5 linked regions of the Oryzias latipes genome follow. The protein of the gene in region 2 purifies or fractionates together with the protein of the main gene of each other region. This does not show direct contact. Links are inferred from orthologs where the notes say so. Each region holds a gene or a part of one and is shown on either strand. Other genes may lie near its edges. The genes, in order: Na(+)/H(+) exchange regulatory cofactor NHE-RF1, phlpp2, usp46, usp12 and usp1.

Region 1 (4,248 bases), on a different chromosome or scaffold from region 2:
CTAAACATGAAATGAGAATGTGATGGTCTCAGCAATCAAAGTACGTTTAACCCTTTCATTCTGAAACATTCTGACATTACGGTAGATCAAAACACGCGTGTCATCCGCTGTCGCCTGTGACACGTTTGGTATTGAAGGGTGAAATGAGACAAACTCGTTTTTTTTTCCTGTAACAGCAGATAACTTCACCAGACCTGCCTGGGCTTTGTTCTGATCAATCACAACAGGTGAAATGACAGGATTATTTTCCAAATCAGTCATGTGACGTATGACTCACAGGCATCGCCAAACAGAAATTCTGCTTTTATCTGGAACAAAATCCACAGAGAAGAATGGAGGAAAAAAAAGACTCCCCCCATTAAAGGGATTTTACAAAAAGACTAAATTAGGTTTTGTAAAGTCAAAGTGTAAGACCCACACAAGCCTCTGTCGAATCAGGATAGCAGACCAGTTCACGCCGTCTAGTGTTGGTCACATGACTGATGCTCTGACAGGAGACCGGAGGCCAAGGCAGAAAGTAAAGTGAGTGCATCTATAAACCAGCAAAGAGGAGACGTGACAGCAGCAGATACAAGAGTTTGATGGCGAGCATTGAGAGACAAAGCCAGCCTACAAGACGTTTGTTTTGTTTAAACGCAAATGAGTCGACATTTTAAACACACACCAGTAAATCTGCACATTTATGGGAGAATTTAACTTCAATTATTTTGGAGGGAAAGCCTCTCTGGGACAATGACTGAAAAAGACAAAACAATGAGGTTACTTACGAACTTTACATATGTGTAAAACGTTGGTACGGATCTTTTGTAAACATTTCTATAAATGTAAATGACAACATAACCACTCTGGTGATCAAACTCTCCCTAAATATTGGAGGATGGATTAGTAAGATGTCAGCTTTTAAAGAAAACAAGCTTAAGTTTTAGAAATCAGAACAAAATTCCAGAAACCAAAACACAAAAAAGCAACAATTTGGGACAAAAAGTAGTTTCCACAAATAGAAATGTTATTTTCAAAAACAAACATGAAATGGATTCACTATGGGACGTCACTGATTGGATAATCATATGCAGTGTTACTTTTGTTGTGATTTCTAAAATGTAATTGTTTTTTTATTCCTTGTCTTGCTGTTTTAATTGTTGTTGTGATAATTTGATGTTTTAGTGTTGAATGATTGTACAGAAGAGTGGAATGTTCTGCATCTATTCATCCCCCAAAAAACAGCAGGAGTCCCGTGTTTGTCCATTAAAAACTAAGAATAGAAACAGGAAAAAACTAATAAAATGCTGATGAAGCACAGAGTGGAATATTCAATTACTTAATGATGATCTAAGTGAAGTTTAGCCCGAGCTGTGCCGGCCTTTAAAGTCTTCTTATCTCTGCTAAAGATAAGAACTGAATTATCCTCTGATGATGTAACCAACTTCTTAAGGTGGATCACTTCTGGAAATTTTCCATAGAAGAAAGTCTTGTAGAATTTATGGGTTTTTAAAACATTTCATTTTTTGTATTATTTGCGCTGCTCCTGCGTCTTAAGGACCCACTTTTCTGTGTTTGTAACATGTTTTTGGGTCATTTGTCTCACGATAGACGGCATTTATGAAGTAAATGAGGCTAAAAATGACAAATCGCTGTGAAACAGGAACAGATAAAAAACAAATGCTTTCATTTGTGACGTAGAAAATAATCTGGGTGGGCCACAACTCAGAGGTGAATTTCTATTGAACTGCTGCTGCTCTGCAGAAACTATGTCCTGGAAAACAACACAGCCTCCTAACTGAAAGAGCACTGCTTCGAAAACAGATCAATGAATAAAAACTGAGCACAGTCTCCACCTATCAGCCTCTTCCATGGAAACTCTCTCTGGCAATAATCCGGAAAGATCCCCAGGACACCGGCTGGTTATAATCTGCATGCTGTGCTCATGAGCACAAGGTCACTCGGGAGGAAGAGGCTGACTGGCTGACTGGCTGACTGGCTGGCTGGCTGACTGGCTGGCTGGCTGGCTGGCTGGCTGGCTGGCTGGCTGGCTGGCTGGCTGGCTGGCTGGCTGGCTGGCTGGCTGGCTGGCTGGCTGCTCTGTCGTCCAAGTCAGAAACTTCATCCCCGAAACATTTCATTTAAAATCAATAAAAACTGGGAGGACAGGTTAGTCACGTGCTCAATTGATCAACCTCGGATTAATTTAATCTGAAACAACACGTGACTTCTGAAGTTTTGAAGCGTTTGGAACTTTCTTGATCACACACCTTGTTGCTGGAGGTGATGCTCAGCCTCCCCGACCTCTCCGAGGACGCGTCCCCGTTCTCGTGCGGCAGCGGGCTCGCCTCCCTCGGGGTGCCGTTGCTCTGGGCGTCCCCGCGGTCCGAGTCGCTGTCCCGGCCGGGCACGGGGATCCCCTCGGTGACGAACTCTCTCCGGCATTGCAGGTTGTGCTTCTTCAGCAGCTCCGCCGTCTCGTCGTCCACCACGATAAGCTCCAGGGCGCCGCTGGTCGCTCGTATCCGGGAGACCACCTGCTGGTGGCTCTCGCCCTCCACGTTCTCCCCGTTCACGAACATCAGCCGGTCTCCGGCGAGCAGCCCGGCGGCGGAGGCGGGGGTGTCGGGCTCCACGAGCCGGATGAACTGCCCGCTCTTGCCTTTATCCCCGTGCAGGTGGAACCCGTACCCGGCGACTCCCTTCTCCATCAAGCACAGTCTGGGGCGAAGGTGGGACATCTTTGTTTCTGACAGCAGACACCTTTGGAGCCGAAAACGAGCCGCCTGCCGCGCGCCACTCCGCAACTTCCGCTAAACTGAGTCACGTCAAAAGTTTCAGCTGTTAAAGTTTTCTTGAGGCACGCGGCGGGCCCGCCCACAGTCTGGCCCCGCCCACGCCCCCCCCCCCCCCCCCCCCCGGCTTGGAGAGCTTCTGTCCCCTCCCCTTTCGAGCGCGCGCCACCCCCTCACCGGAAGTGCCGTGTCAATTTCCTTAACTGACTTAATTTCAAAATAAGATGACTCTCACTAACATTCTAGTTTTATTCTTTCATTATAGACGCTTTTATACGGAAGCTCTGAGCTGCCACTGCGAAAAATATTTTTTGGAACAGCTTCTCGTAATAACGAGAAAGTACTTTTATACTTTTATTATTATTTTTTTTAACATTTTCTCAGCTAAACCAGACTAGCTCAGCTGCTTTAAACAAGCATTTGTCATGTGGTAAAAAAAAAAAGATTAGTCATTTCACACTTTCTTTATATTATCCCCATCTTTATATATATTATTATATTATTATAATCTTTTAAGATTTATAAAGTTCCAGTTTTTCAAGTATTTTATATGTTGGAAATTGTTCTCAGGGTTCTTTTAATAATGATTTTACAGTTTTTAACCCAAATAAAAACCTGCATTGTTTTTTACGACACATTCTCTTTATCAGAATTTACCTCTGACTGTTGGTGTGGAAGTAAGCCTCCACTGATTCCCCATCATCCCTTTGCATACACTCTCTCCCGCTAGTCTAAAGCCCCTCCCGACTCCTAGCTAATATTGGTGGCACAATAAAAATGGCGAGCAATATTGCAGCTACAGTTTTGAACGGTATGAATGAGGAAAAAAAAGTATACTTGGATCTATTTGTCTGCAAGTGCATCAGAATGGAGCAGAAAGGGGGTGGGGGCTCGCCCGCCCATCTCAGTTTTGCATCACAACTGAGAGCTTTTTCAAAAAAGGCAGGTTTTCATCTGCTAAACATCACCATTTGAAAGATGAAAACAAGGGACTCAGAAATGCAGTTTTAATCTTAAATTCGTTTATGTATGTCGTCCACTGTGAGAAAAATGCTACGAGAACATGTTAAAAACACCACTTTCATTGGAGTGGGTCTTTAACCAAATCCAATTTAATTTTCAAGACCTAGGTGGAATGATGGTCATGTTGTAATTCTTGTATTCTCACACATCTGCACTAACAGTTGTCACCTTAACCTCCAGCTTGTTGCTGATGGTTTTGTAGTCCATTCTGGTCGGGTGCAGGTCTTCTTCCTTTAATCCACTGAAAGATCTTTAGTCTTTCCATGTTGGAGAGTTGGAGTCTGACTGATGGACTGAGGGTGTATTCAGACTGGAAAGGATTGCTGGTTCAGACTGGGTCAGTTTAATTTGGTCCAAATCGAGTCCTGAATTTTAAACGTCTGTATTCACGTCAGGTGCAGCACTTTCTACTCGATTACTTTGGTATGGCGGAGACATGCTGCGAGACGGT
Region 2 (4,310 bases):
CCACCATAAAAAAAAAAAACACTTTCTTGCATGAAATTAAACCGTCCACTGAAAGTCTGTGCTTTTCCACCTGCAGTTCCTTGTGTAAAGTCCAGTCATTTTAAACCAAAGATGATCTTGCAAATGATTCATTTCAGGTCCTTTGATTCTGGCATTTATCACTAAAATTAGGGCTGCATGATATAAGGAAAACCTGCCATTTGGGATATTAATGATCAATATTGCGATGGCAATAAAACTTGTGATACATGAACAAATAGCAAAACAACAAAAAACATAATCTCCATTTCACTGCAACAGTTTCATTTAGAGTCAACATCGCTTAAATTATACTCTAGTCTAAATGACCCTCATTTGCATAGGAGGCCAGCATCTAAAAGGGCTCCATCCGATTGGTCAAATGCATAAATGGATTTATTTGATTCATTAAATCTCTAAGCTGCCATAAGATTGTTTTAGCATATTTAAGGTTAGCATTTATTGCAATTTTCGCCATATTTTGCAATATGTGTATTACACAATTTGATACCGCCATAATGATAATCTTGTGATTTATTGTGCAGGCCAAAATAAAATCAATTATTTTCTGATAAACTGGGAAAAAAAATGAATAATTACATTAACACTTAAAGACATCAGAAGGGTATCAAACTTCACCTTTTAGGACACTTTTGAAATTATGCAATAAAAAATAGGATGGTCAAGTGGCTCAAACAATAGTCTTCGTGTATCCTCAGTCTTCCTAGAAGAAAAATGACAAATTACAATCTAATGTGACATTATATGGTTTAGGATATAGAGCTGGGTTTGAAATTTAGAATAATTAAGTTATTCTTTACTTATAAAACTCTAAATGTATTTATCAAATCTATTGGTTTTCTGTTAAATCCATTTTGTTGCTTTTTTTCAAGTAAAACCCAGCTTCTCTGTTAGTTTCTAATATTAGAATTCATCATTTTATCAACAAAAGTTCCTGATTTTCCCCCCCTGCTTTTTCATTACCAGAATGCACATTTGAAACTATAAACTAGTACTGAATTGAGTTGAAATGGAAATTCTACCATGATGAACTTGTGAATCCAGAATCAACTGTTTGGCAGTGATACCTAGTCCTATCTACCCCTAGGGTCATGTTTTCATATAACAACAAATGTTGAAGTGGATAAGCGTCTGAGGAGCTCCATGAAAGAGCTCATGTCCATGGCAGGAGGTCTCTTTTTTTGTTGTAGTAACACAACACGGAAAAAAACGTGCAGCTTTGACACAGACGCTTCCTCACAGAGGAGGCCCAGCAGTCAGGTTTTTAAGTAAAATATTTGCAGAGCATTCCAATCTAAGCAGTCTGATTGGTTCTTTAGAGGTTATGGGGACTAGAAACTGGTGAAAAACAAATAACCAGGAGGACTTTGTCACTTTGCAGTTATATTTGTGCTGCAGGTAAATGCCATATGCACAAATGTAAATGCACAAAGCAAATTTCACTAAATTAGTATGACATTCCTAAAAGAAAAAACTAGACTAAAATGACTAGTTTCATGTATATGTTGTTGCAATTGATAAGAACTGACTATTTCTAACACTTATAATCTGATTATTGATTTATATTCCATTTTAGTATTTTTTCATTTTAAGAACATTAAACTTAAAAATGTAAATAAATGTGGATTTAATTTTACTTTTAAGGTCTCTCCTCTGTTTGAGCTTTTCAACAGAGGCACATAATTCAATGACAGCAGGAGCAGAGTTTGAATGTCACACCTGTTGCAGGGGGGAAACATGAAAATCTTGGCAAGAAGAAAAAAGGTAATCATTGATATTCTTGCAACTGCTCCCTTCCAGGTGTGGCGAGTCTTGCTGTCTAATGCAAAACTTCACTGCATAGTGGCAAACGCATCAATATAACGTGCAAATGATGTGAAACTGGTTACACTTTGGGGAAAATACATTTACCTGAAAACATAATGACGGTATAATACTACTTATTCTGGATGTAATATGTGAGTAATGTGCACTGTCAGGCTGGCTGTCATCTTCTCAGGTGTCCGGCAGAAGGCCTCGACATGACAGGTCTGCCTGCTTTCTGGCTGCTGTGACTTTACCTCTCAATGAATGGAGATCAGCACACTTGACACACACGCCGTTACATAATAGGCATTCATCGCCTGCACTTTGCTCCGTTTCCGTCTTTCAGCGCCATAAAGGCATGTTTTCAGCACTCCGTGGTTCACGCGCAGCATCACGGGTCGGTCACGGTGGGACTTGCCTTTAGCACTCGGATCCCGGTCGCGGAATGAGCCCCGGGACCGCTGCGGCTGCCGCGACCAGTGGTGTGGTTGAGCCCCGCCTGGTGGACCACCGTGTCCGGCTGCCTGTCGATGCAAGCCCCGTTCCCTCCGACACCCCCTGCCTGCTTCTGTTGGATGTTGCGGGTGGAGAGCGCCGCGCTGCCGTCCTCGTCCTCCATCGTCATGTGGGATTCCGGTTATGAGGTCCAGAAGGCGAGCGGCTGACCGATTCCCACGGAGAGACGAAACAGCATCCCGCGTCCGCGCAGAGACGCCATGTCCCGACTGATGCGACTGGAGCCGCACAGGCCTGCAGAGGGCTGCTCAATAAACATGACATAGGCGGGGCCAGGCGCGCGGACATGGGCGGGGCTAGGATCGCGGACATTATGAGCGCAAATCGTTTTTATGGGAATATCTGTTGGCATGCGCAGTTTAAGGGGCTTTAAATAAACACAGCTTTCAAAATAAAATAAAAAACTTAGAACAAAAATTGCTATTAGATTCAGCAACAATAAAATATACTAAACTGGTTTACATACGCACTCTGAATATGGTGTTTTTTTACATGTTCTAGCTACAATTTTCCCATGATGGAGGACAATTATAAAGAAAACTTAAGCCTAAAATTGTATTTATGAGTATGTCTTAATTTAAATCGTTGTGAATCAGGAGCAGATGAAAGAATGCAGTTGGGGAAAGCCTGTAGGTGTGAGCCTATGACAGGCCACAAGCTCTGTGCTCCGCTCCATTCCATTCCGATGCATCCACTTGCAGACAAATAGATCCATTAGCATATTAATTTTCCTCTTCTGAGTTTGCGTCTGGCTTAAAACTGTACGGCTGGATAGCTCCAATATTGCTAACCATATTTGTTGCACTGCTAATGTTAGGTTGAGGAGTTTGTAAACAAGCAGGAGAAAGTGTAAAGAAGAGGATGATGGGAAGGTAGGGTGGTCTTACTCTGCACCAACAGTCCCACCCACAACTCAGGTGAATTTCTAATAAACTACAGCTGCCATGCAGGAACTGTAGTAGAAAACTACACTTTATTTGGGCTAAACCCAGCATAATTCTAATCTAATAATTACTGGAAATGCTTTTAAAATAGATCCAAAGATGATTTAAGTGGGACTTTAATAAACCTAACTCTGCATATTTTGGTCGCACGTTAATTTGAAGATATGGAATGAAAAAAGCAATAAGTTCAAGACATAAATCTATTGTAAACAGTCGTTATTGCTGACAAATATAAAGCATCCAAGACACTTAAGGTGGCAGGGTTGTTGTGTTGAGGCAATGTCTAACAGGGTGTAAAGACAAAATATTGCTCACTGATAAAATCTAATAGAATTTAAAGTAATTGTAAAAATAATTTTTATTTCATTTAAACTTGTTTTATATGTAATAGAGAATTTAAAAAAGAAGCTATACCATGATTGGATAACAGAAAGTTTCAGATGTTATTTTTTGGCTTTTTACAAACATATTGTTAGTTTGTTTTTGCAAACTTGTTGAATGAATCAGGACTTACTGATAAATGCAAGTGCAGCCATGACTCCGCATGATAAAATTAATAAAAAAGCCACCACACACCAAACTAAGAACAACAGTTCTATCATTGAACTCCACTTTTATTTGACTTTTTATTTGCTTGATCATTTTCTCCAACCCAAAGACAAGAATACACAGCATAAATTGAAAATATCCCATTTAATATTTTACAGCTTCTCATCTTTAATAAGTTCATACTTTCAGTCCGACATTCATTCACTCCTTGAAGCCATGGAACCGAAAAACTGGTTTGTCAAAGGTGACAAGAAAAAAAGTGAACCTCATGCCTTTGCCAACCCCAAAAATAATTTGGATATCTTTTTCTTTTCAGCCAGGATAAGTGTTGGAGGGGGCGGGACACCGATCAGGTTTTCAAAACACAGTGGATTAAATTATTTCTTAACAAACAGGGAGACAGATGCTCTTCCAAGCCCTTTACACAATGGCTTCATCCAAACAAAAGAAGCAAAT
Region 3 (3,517 bases), on a different chromosome or scaffold from region 2:
ATTCTAAATATGTACATCTGATATTTATATGAAAATCCTTTTAAGATTGTTAAAAATAGCTCAGATTTAAATAATACATGTAAATTATTCATTTTTGTTCATACATTTATTAAACAAATTGGAAAAACAATGGCTGCATTACACTTTAGAACAATAATTTCAACTCAAGTAAACTTAACAGACTCTCCTGTCGCTGTTCCTCCCTTCTAGCCCTTTCCTCCTCTCTCTTCTGGGTCTTTAACATAAACCTTTAACCCAGTACGACAACGATTAACCGTTTATTAAAATGAAGTCAAATCTGATCATATGTCTCTACCCATCTGGCACGAGCTAGCTTGAAAACAAACAGGCTATCTTTCTCCATCTGCAAATGGATCGGATTTTCCTCATCCTCGTCTGTCCCTACATATATGAACACATTTAAAACATGTGTTAATAACTTGTGACTACGGTTAGAAGTCACTGCTTTTTGATGTAATATCTAGCGTTTGTTTTTAGCCTTCGGCGCTAATTCGCGTTAGCTTTAGCATTACTGAAATTGATGAGCTTCAAAACAATCTAGGTTGTTGATTGAGGAATATAACATATTAAACACATCATCTTAAGTATTTACAAATATATTTTACAACAGATACTGGATATTTTTTAATATACTTACACGTTTCGGTGGTTTTCCTTGCGCAACCGGCTGCCATTTTCGAATGATTCAGACGAATGATTATCTCGCGATAATCAGCCAACATCCGTTTCTACTGAAATGCCTTCCGTTTCTGTCGAAAATTTCAGTAGTGTGTGTGAGAGGATTTCAGTAGTGTGTGTGAGAGGATTTCAGTAGTGTGTGTGAGAGGATTTCAGTAGTGTGTGTGAGAGGATTTCAGTAGTGTGTGTGAGAGCATTTCAGTAGTGTGTGTGAGAGCATTTCAGTAGTGTGTGTGAGAGCATTTCACATGTGTATGTGAGAGATTTGACATGTGTATGTGAGAGATTTCACATGTGTATGTGAATGAATACATTTTCAGTTGTATGTATACAAGCATTTCACTAGTGTGTGTGAGAGATTTCACATGTGTATGTGAATGCTAATTCTGAATAATGTCCTACACGGCACCTCATAGCCAAAGCTGTGGTGTTAAAGACTCTCCATCTGACCTGGAATCGTGACCTCATATTAAAAAAGCAGAAATGTCGTTTTTCTTTATCATCTTCGGTGTGATGCCTACAGATTCATTCTTCTGCGTTCTGTTTGCTGGGGCTCAGAAAAGTAGGTATTTTTATAAAGTAACTGGTGTGCCCTTGTCCTCCTCAGTTTGGAAACACGTGTTACTGTAACTCCGTGCTGCAGGCGCTCTACTTCTGCCGGCCTTTCCGGGAGAACGTGCTGGCCTACAAAGCTCAGCAGAAGAAGAAGGAGAACCTGCTCACGTGTCTGGCCGACCTCTTCCACTCCATTGCCACACAGAAGAAGAAGGTGGGCGTCATTCCACCCAAGAAGTTCATCTCCCGACTGCGGAAGGAGAACGGTGAGAGGGCAACGTCCACGCTCTTCTCCACGAAATTCCTCTTCTGCTTTGGTGGAACTTTCAAGGTCTCAGTTTGGCTGGACGTGAGAAACTCCAGGGAAAACTGGGAAGCAGGTTGACATTCCCATTAGAAGTCTGAACACTCTTCTTCAGTGGTGAAGAGTCTTTTAGATCCAAATACTCTGATTACTGCAGATCTGAATTCAACTCACAATTTTAAGTAAACTTATAGAGAAAAGTGTTGCTAATCAACTACATGAGATTTTAAATGCAGCAAAACATTTTAGAAAAATAACAGTCTGGTTTTAGGACAAACCACAGAACAGAGACGTCTCTTTTAAAGATCGTTATACCGCGGTCTGGGTGAATACTCATTGGCTGCTGGGTGTGCACTAAACAGTGATAATCCACAGTGATAGTGTACACCTAAAAAAGTAGTTCCGGTCACCTAGCTTAAATGTTTTGTATCACTTGTTTAAAACAACCTTTATCTTCATCATTTGGACAAAAACAAGCGGTAAGAGGTGAACTTTCTCTCTGAACTGATGCTTTATTTAACACATCATGACCATCAGCACAGATACTTTCCTTTGCCGCAGCTGTTGAGGTCGGTACAGGCTCCGCCCGTTGTCATGTTACCATGACAATGTGCCACACAACGTCATAAATAGTCCGCTTTTTGTGGAAAAAAGCGATCTAAACTGACAAAACAACAAGAAGAAAATACTAAAAACTAAATCTTCATTTCTTTTGTGAGTGACCATAGTGTACCGTAAGCAGGTTAATGACCTTTGAAGTCTGCAGTATCAGCATCAACATACTTTGCAGAAGCAACCGTTCTCTGGCTTCCACCGCATACGTTTATTTTCTGATGATGCACATTATCCCTTACTTTATGATATTAGAAACAAATTAGACTCACAGAAACTTTCTGTTCTGGTGCTGCTGGATCTTAGATACAGTTGATTGGACAGACGTAGGAGTCTAGTGGGCCTCTCTGGAAATGTTCATAAGTGGTTTTATTCTTACCTTACAGACCAACACTTTTATGTAAGTATGGATACATGGTCTTCAGGAATCCATGAATTAAGTTGTGGGGTTCCCCAACGGGTCGAATTTGGTTCTACACTGTTTAACTTTTATATGTTTCCTATTGGTGATGTCATCAGGAGACACGGCATTGACTTTCACAGCTATGCTGATGATACACAACTTTACAATGCTGTATCTCCTGATGACCTTGAACCTATTAACACTCTAGTCGTGAAAGGCAGAAAACTTCCTACAGCTCAACCAGGACAAAACTTTTAATCATTGGTCCTGAAGACGAGAGAGAGATGATTTTACCCAAACTTAGGAATTTTAAAGACCTAAACTTATGGTGAGCCTTCGTTCTGCCATTATGGTCCTCGCCTGTGGAACAGCCTGCCGGAGAGCCTCAGGGGCTGTCCGACAAAGCAGGGGTCTCAAACTCGCGGCCCGCGGGCTATTTGCGGCCCCCAAGACGATATTTGGAGGCCCCCACCTTAATATGAAAGTGTAATGTTAGTGCGTCCCGCCAGTTTTTTATGAATGACAGTATTTCAGTGTTGTGTGCGGAGCTGACAAACCAACCAATAACAGTATAGTATATGACTCTTGGGGGCGTGACATTGACCAGGCTTGAAAGCAGGAGAACATTTAGGGAAACCTGACAGCCCCCCCCCCCCCCCCCTCCCCGGACCAGGAGGAGTTCCTTACTTTCCTTTTTATTTTAATGTTTTGTAACGTATGTAGCCTATTTCTTAACAATAGGTTTTTTAATGGATTTCAATGGATCACTTTAAACTACAAGAACTGTCTGGACACCGTTTCCCACAATGCATTTATTTGCAGTCATCAGGGCGGCTCACAGTCAGCGCAGTACCAAATTTGCAGCTGCGTTAGCTTAGGTTGCCGCCTTTTTGCTCGCACCCCTTTCTCGTGATATTTTTGTGACGTGACGTTGGAGCAAAAAC
Region 4 (3,517 bases), on a different chromosome or scaffold from region 2:
CAGGATGTAGATTACAAATGATCCTGTTGTAACGGCTTAATCTGTTACATTTCAGAGCTGTTTGACAATTACATGCAGCAGGATGCCCACGAGTTCCTGAATTATCTCCTCAACACTATTGCTGACCTGCTTCAAGAGGAAAGGAAGCAGGAGAAGACCAATGGCCGCCTTGCCAATGGGACATTGGACTCCCAGAATAACAACAGCAATGCTACGCCTGCACCCACCTGGGTCCATGAGATCTTCCAAGGCACTCTGACCAATGAAACCCGCTGCCTCACCTGTGAAACAGTGAGCTACATCAGCTTTTTGTTAAGTTGCACTATCCTGTTTGCTAAAGTTAAAAAAAAGGGTTAATTTAATCTAATTAGACTAATATTTTTCAAGTTCAGTTGCATGTGTCTGAAAATATTTTTTCTGCTCAGATAAGCAGCAAGGATGAGGATTTTCTGGATCTTTCTGTGGATGTAGAACAGAATACCTCCATCACTCACTGTCTCAGGTAAAGAAAACTTGTTGAATGCATATCACTTCCTCATTTTTGTCTCGACAATAACTTTTGTCAGTTAAAGTGCAATCGTAGACTGAATTTGGGCAGTTCTTATAAAAAGCTTTTCACAAGTTAAAGCAGCGAATAAAAGTGACTTGTAAAATATTTTGTTTATTGATGGATGGAGCTGATTCCTCAGCATGATGTCAGCCTTGTGTTGAAAAAGTGCTCAGCTCAGCTGGGATGAACTGTGGCAGCCGTGGACCCATTAAACCCGGCTGTCTCGGGGAAAGTTTGTAAAACCATCAAGTGACAGAATGATGTGTGTGTTGGCAGCAATTTTTTAACCTTTCATCACGTTGGCTCTGCAAAGAAAAGAAAAAATCAGTCCACCAAGGCTGCAGTGATGATATTTACTGCTGAAGCAGAAGAGGCCTGTGCATGACGCTGAATCCCAAACTTGGCTAGTATTACTGCTAAATGATGTTCATAGAGGTCGTGGGAAAGTTGCTTAGTTTTAGACGATTAATGTCTAATTAGAGCTTCATAAATGAGCTCGTATTACATAACATTTTATAGCATGCATTAACCTTTTTCCTTTATCTGTCAGGGGTTTCAGTAACACGGAGACGCTCTGCAGTGAGTACAAATACTACTGTGAAGAATGTAGAAGCAAGCAGGAGGCACACAAGAGGTGAGCGCTTCAAGATTCTTGCACGCATACGTTGGGCACTAATTCCCTTTTTGTGTCATTTTGTTCTTAGGATGCGTGTCAAAAAGCTGCCGATGATCCTGGCTCTGCATCTAAAGCGCTTTAAGTACATGGAGCAGCTGCAGCGCTACACCAAACTGTCCTATCGGGTCGTCTTCCCCCTGGAACTGCGCCTCTTCAACACGTCAGGAGACGCCACCAATCCTGAGAGGCTTTACGATCTGGTCGCAGTTGTGGTACATTGTGGGAGGTATGTATGTGGAGAAACAGGCATCAGCATCATATTATCCCCAGATATGAAAACGAATTACTTTCTTACAAAGTATTTAATTTTTTGACAGCCTAACTGCCATTTTGGGGTACGTGCTGATGATTATTGACACAGAAAACACATGGAATCACTGGCACATTACAATCTTTATCAGACAAACATCTTAAGGAATCAACTTTTAAACCTCATAAGATGTATGTCCTTTACTAAAAAAATGATTTAAAATGAATTTTTTAAATAACTATTAACATTTTTATTTTCAGAAGACATTGGACTCATAAATGATTGTTGCAAAACTCTCATCATTAGATTATCACTTCCTGAAATCAATGACATCATATTAAAAAAGAAAAAGAAGGGAAGAAAAGTAGTGAGCGTTGTGTCCAAATTGCTTTTAAAATCTAGGGCACTACATAGTCCCGCACTATATAGTTTTTTAGGAGTTAAGGATCAGGGTGGGAATTCGGACACAGCTCATGACTTCCATCACCAATCGTCAATGCAATCAATCATGTCCCGGTAGCCAATGGGCTCAGAGCGTAATAGTACATTAAGGACTGAAAAATCAAAATTTAAAAACACAAGACGGTATCTGTTACAAATAAATATACATATTTTTTTATTTCGTTGTAAATATTCAAAAAGTCTTTTAAGTTTACTAGCCGTCCACGGGGCTTTGTTTTGGCTCTGCTATCGTGTTTGTGCAGCGTGAATAAATAGTTCGCAGAGTCTTGGTCAGAAATCTACTGGTAAAGATGTTAACTTGTAGTTCCACAGTAACCCAAAATGTTGCTGCCAGTTTATCCATGTTGTTTTGTCCTTGTTAGCCTACAGTGTTTTTTTTGTTTGCTTTTTGTCAAATGTTAGTATTTTTTTCTTAAAGTTAAATGATATTTTTTCACATAAAAAAGTTTGAATTTCAATTTTTCAATAATTTTCTAAAATATAATATATATATATATATATATATATATATATATATATATATATATATATATATATATATATATATATATATATATATATATATATATATATATATATATATATATATATATATATATATATATATATATATATATATATATATATATATATATATATATATATATATATATTTTTTTTTTTAACTTGTCCTGTCCAACAGCTGGGCAGTCACATGAGAGCTGAGGGCCTCTTGGGTTGGACATATTTTACTTTAACAAGAGGGGTTATTAATCTTCAGACAAACCAAAGGTATGTCTGAATAAACCCCTTTTGTAATTGAGGCCAAACTTTATTAATTTCAAACATGTCTGAAAATCTTTGGTGTTGGACCGGACGGAAAAGGAAAGAGGGGAAGAAGAGAGAGGGACGTTAGAGAGAGGGGGGGTAGGGGGTGATAATAGAAGGGGAAGGGGGATAAGACCATGAAGCAGCATAAAGCAACAAGTTTACTGGTTGTTAGCAGGAAGTAGCAGAGATTGGAAAGGATGAGGTTAGGAAGGCTCTGAAAAGGATCAAGAGCGGAAAGGCCGTTGGTCCTGATGACGTACCTGTGGAGGTATGGAAGTGCTTAGGAGAGACAGCAGTGGAATTTCTAACGAGGTTGTTCAATAGGATTTTAGAGAGTGAGAAGATGCCTGAGGAATGGAGGAGAAGCGTTCTGGTTCCGATCTTTAAGAACAAGGGTGACACGCAGAACTGCAGCAACTATAGAGGAATAAAGTTGATGAGCCACACAATGAAGCTGTGGGAAAGAGTAGTGGAAGCCAGGCTTAGGAAGAAGGTGGAGATTTGTGAGCAGCAGTATGGTTTCATGCCCCGTAAGAGCACCACTGATGCCATTTTTGCTTTGAGAATGTTGATGGAAAAGTACAGAGAAGGTCAGAAGGAGCTGCATTGTGTGTTGGTAGATTTAGAGAAGGCGTATGACAGGGTGCCGATGGAGGAGCTGTGGTACTGTATGAGGTCGTCTGGAGTGGCAGAGAAGTATGTCAGAGTAGTTCAGGACATGTATGAGAGAAGTATGACGGTGGTGAGATGTGCTGTAGGTCAGACAGAG
Region 5 (2,580 bases), on a different chromosome or scaffold from region 2:
CAGAGTCCTCAGCTCGGGTTTAGGCTCTGGAGAGACTGAAGAAGAAAAACCATCGACTCCCCTTCTTCCTTACTTTTCTATTCACGGCTGATAAAGGGGAAGAACCTCCAGGAGACGCCTGAACTTGTCACAGCCCTGAAACCGGCTGTAGAAACTCACCCTCTGAGAAGTCGTCTGGGCTGCTGGCTTGGTCATCCAGCACTGGGACGCTGATGTCATGGAAGTCTTCCCTTCTCTCCGTGAAGCTCTCACATTCCAGACATCGAGTCCTCAGAACTAGCTGGCCCTGGAACAGCCGCTCCATCAGGCCCAGACTCCCTGAAGCAAACAAGAATACATGGCTCAGTTGTGAGCGCTGCTTTGGGTTAATCAGTTAAAACATGGTTTCCTCTCCAGACTTCAAATGGTTCCCCAAACAAACCTTTATGTTTCTCTGTGTTCTTGTGTTCAGTTGGTGGAGATTCGTTTTCCTTGTCCCTCTGTTGGTTCTCCTGCTCTGCCTTGTTGTTCTTTCCTGTTGTGGAGCTGATCTTTCCAACGCTGCAGAACTTCGAGAAAATTCCGGGCTGCTTCCCAGACGCTCTCAGCCAGCTCAGCTTCGTTCTCTTCTTCCGCTTCCCATCCATGGTTTTAGGTTGCTTTTGGTCTTTCTCCTCTTCGTTTCCCCCCTCTTTGACCTCCGCTCCGGTCTTATTTTGAGTGAACGTCGTGTCACTGGAGGACTTCCTCTTGGAGCGAGTGAAGGGTTTGCTTGTGTTGTTTTCCTCTCCAGTTTCTCCTTTCTTAGATTTGCCAGACTTGGGCTTCTTCTTCACGTTTCCCACCTCTGTGTCACTCTTCCTCTTGCCGGTGACTTGACCGTCTTCCTCAGTGTTTAGTGTGGATTGGGCCTCAGAGCAGCTGTCGTTCCCCATATTCACTTTTCCAACATCGGTTTCACTTTCTTCCTCACGTTCCTTTCTGATGGTGTCACAGGCCTCCTGGATGTATCCCAATATGCACTGCAGAACCTCCTGAGCATCATGTTGGAGGTGGCCTTCATACATGGGGTTCAGCTGCCTGCAAAACAGAACATGGATCCGTTGGGATCTCCTCTTTCTCCTTCAATCGGGAAAACATGGGTGCTGGCTCTCACTGCAATGCAATGACTGGGATACCATGTGGAAGCCTCACCTGAGCGTATGCAGAACTGTACAGGGCGGAGTGGCCAGCTCTCCTTCAGAGAAGCTCTCAGGGTTGAGCAGGAAGTTGGACTGCCGCTCCTCTACAGATGTTATCAGACTGTTGAGGCTTCCCAGGAGCTCAACGGCAGCCGGCAGAGGCTCAGAAGAACAATCTGACGACTTAGATTGTGTCTGAGGGGATGAAGGCATGAAAAAAATGATCACATTAAAGAAATTGCATTTTTTTTTTTACAAACAACTCCTAAAAACGTTTGTGTACTTTTACATTTTAACATAAAAGCTTAATTCACAAATGTCAGATTTCTGTGTTCTAATACACTTTACTGTTGACCAACCTTCTCACTTTCAACTGCCCCTTCCTTTGGATTCTCCTGACATTTGGACAGATCATAGAGCGTCTTTATACCTTCTCTGAAGCCCGGGCAATAATGGAGAACCTGCACAAACAGCTTAACATGAGCACGCACACTTTAACCTTTGACCCTTTCCTATCTTAAAGGATTGCATTCATTTTATAGAACACATCCAGTATTTTAAGACGCAATTGAGGCAGAGTTCAAAGGTTTTTCAAGTTTATAAACAGAAATGTTACAATATTATATTTTTGTTCATCTTTTATTTTTACTAATTAAAAAAAGGTTAGCCAATCATAATGAAACAACATATTCCATGTTCAAAATCATAAAAATATAAAACTGAGTCAGCAGAATGATGAAAAAGGCAGACTTTTTTATCCTATTTCTTAAAAATAACTAAGTAAATGTCTCTCATCTCGTCCACCAATCAGGAAGTCCCATATCTGTCTGAACAGGTGTTTAACTGCAGCAGAGCCAGTGTCCACTGTCACTCTCCTCACATCCAAACACTGCTTTTGCAGATAAACCAGCGAGGAAACATGGACATGCAGGGCGCCACGGCAACTATGTGAAGCAGCCGCTTATCTCGAGCTATACTCTGCTCCGACATAAACACAGCTTTTTCAGTTTGAAAGACATTTTGGGGTTTTAGGAAGGCCATTTTTCAGCCTGCTAGATGGGCACTAGTGTCGGGAAAACAAAAAATTCTTTATAGGACATTAAACAACAGAAGACATACAAGGGGTAAAAAAAAATTAAGAACTGGTGAACCAATTGGACTCGCACAAAACACAGTTCAGTTTGTGGGCTTGTTTATTTTACAGTGATGAAAGTCAGGTAAGGAAAAAATCCCTGAACTTTTCTTTGAGCGATATGGCGGGCACAGAGCGAAATTTTGGAAAAATACGTGGTCTTAGATGCATTCTGGTGCATTCTGGCAGCTAGTTATTCACTTCTTTATCAAGAAACTAAGACTAATTGGAGCATCATGATTTTTCATTCAAACCCCTAGTTTGACTCTCCATTAAGGACTTGCTGGT

What was found.
Region 1: the proteins of phlpp2 (region 2) and Na(+)/H(+) exchange regulatory cofactor NHE-RF1 purify together in Homo sapiens (co-immunoprecipitation; 3 studies listed by BioGRID and IntAct, with this or other methods). This does not show direct contact. The link is inferred for Oryzias latipes from reciprocal best matches to the Homo sapiens genes PHLPP2 and NHERF1.
Region 3: the proteins of phlpp2 (region 2) and usp46 purify together in Homo sapiens (affinity purification with mass spectrometry; 4 studies listed by BioGRID and IntAct, counting the BioPlex papers as one, with this or other methods). This does not show direct contact. The link is inferred for Oryzias latipes from reciprocal best matches to the Homo sapiens genes PHLPP2 and USP46.
Region 4: the proteins of phlpp2 (region 2) and usp12 purify together in Homo sapiens (affinity purification with mass spectrometry; 3 studies listed by BioGRID and IntAct, with this or other methods). This does not show direct contact. The link is inferred for Oryzias latipes from reciprocal best matches to the Homo sapiens genes PHLPP2 and USP12.
Region 5: the proteins of phlpp2 (region 2) and usp1 purify together in Homo sapiens (affinity purification with mass spectrometry; 3 studies listed by BioGRID and IntAct, with this or other methods). This does not show direct contact. The link is inferred for Oryzias latipes from reciprocal best matches to the Homo sapiens genes PHLPP2 and USP1.

What each region holds. Positions count from the first base shown.
Region 1 is NC_019877.2:24,330,270-24,334,517, forward strand, and holds the start of Na(+)/H(+) exchange regulatory cofactor NHE-RF1, read right to left. Parts: upstream 2,818-4,248; 5' UTR 2,721-2,817; coding exon 2,250-2,720; intron 1-2,249. UniProt on the Homo sapiens protein: Scaffold protein that connects plasma membrane proteins with members of the ezrin/moesin/radixin family and thereby helps to link them to the actin cytoskeleton and to regulate their surface expression. Necessary for recycling of internalized ADRB2.
Region 2 is NC_019861.2:21,093,652-21,097,961, forward strand, and holds the start of phlpp2 (PH domain leucine-rich repeat-containing protein phosphatase 2), read right to left. Parts: upstream 2,804-4,310; 5' UTR 2,471-2,803; coding exon 2,264-2,470; intron 1-2,263. UniProt on the Homo sapiens protein: Protein phosphatase involved in regulation of Akt and PKC signaling.
Region 3 is NC_019862.2:999,726-1,003,242, forward strand, and holds part of usp46 (ubiquitin carboxyl-terminal hydrolase 46), read left to right. Parts: intron 1-1,306; coding exon 1,307-1,520; intron 1,521-3,517. UniProt on the Homo sapiens protein: Deubiquitinating enzyme that plays a role in behavior, possibly by regulating GABA action. May act by mediating the deubiquitination of GAD1/GAD67.
Region 4 is NC_019878.2:17,506,766-17,510,282, forward strand, and holds part of usp12 (ubiquitin carboxyl-terminal hydrolase 12), read left to right. Parts: intron 1-55; coding exon 56-291; intron 292-425; coding exon 426-502; intron 503-1,100; coding exon 1,101-1,184; intron 1,185-1,254; coding exon 1,255-1,452; intron 1,453-3,517. UniProt on the Homo sapiens protein: Deubiquitinating enzyme that plays various roles in the regulation of the immune response and inflammation.
Region 5 is NC_019862.2:16,397,667-16,400,246, forward strand, and holds part of usp1 (ubiquitin carboxyl-terminal hydrolase 1), read right to left. Parts: intron 1,622-2,580; coding exon 1,520-1,621; intron 1,356-1,519; coding exon 1,174-1,355; intron 1,060-1,173; coding exon 422-1,059; intron 319-421; coding exon 160-318; intron 36-159; coding exon 1-35. UniProt on the Homo sapiens protein: Negative regulator of DNA damage repair which specifically deubiquitinates monoubiquitinated FANCD2. Also involved in PCNA-mediated translesion synthesis (TLS) by deubiquitinating monoubiquitinated PCNA.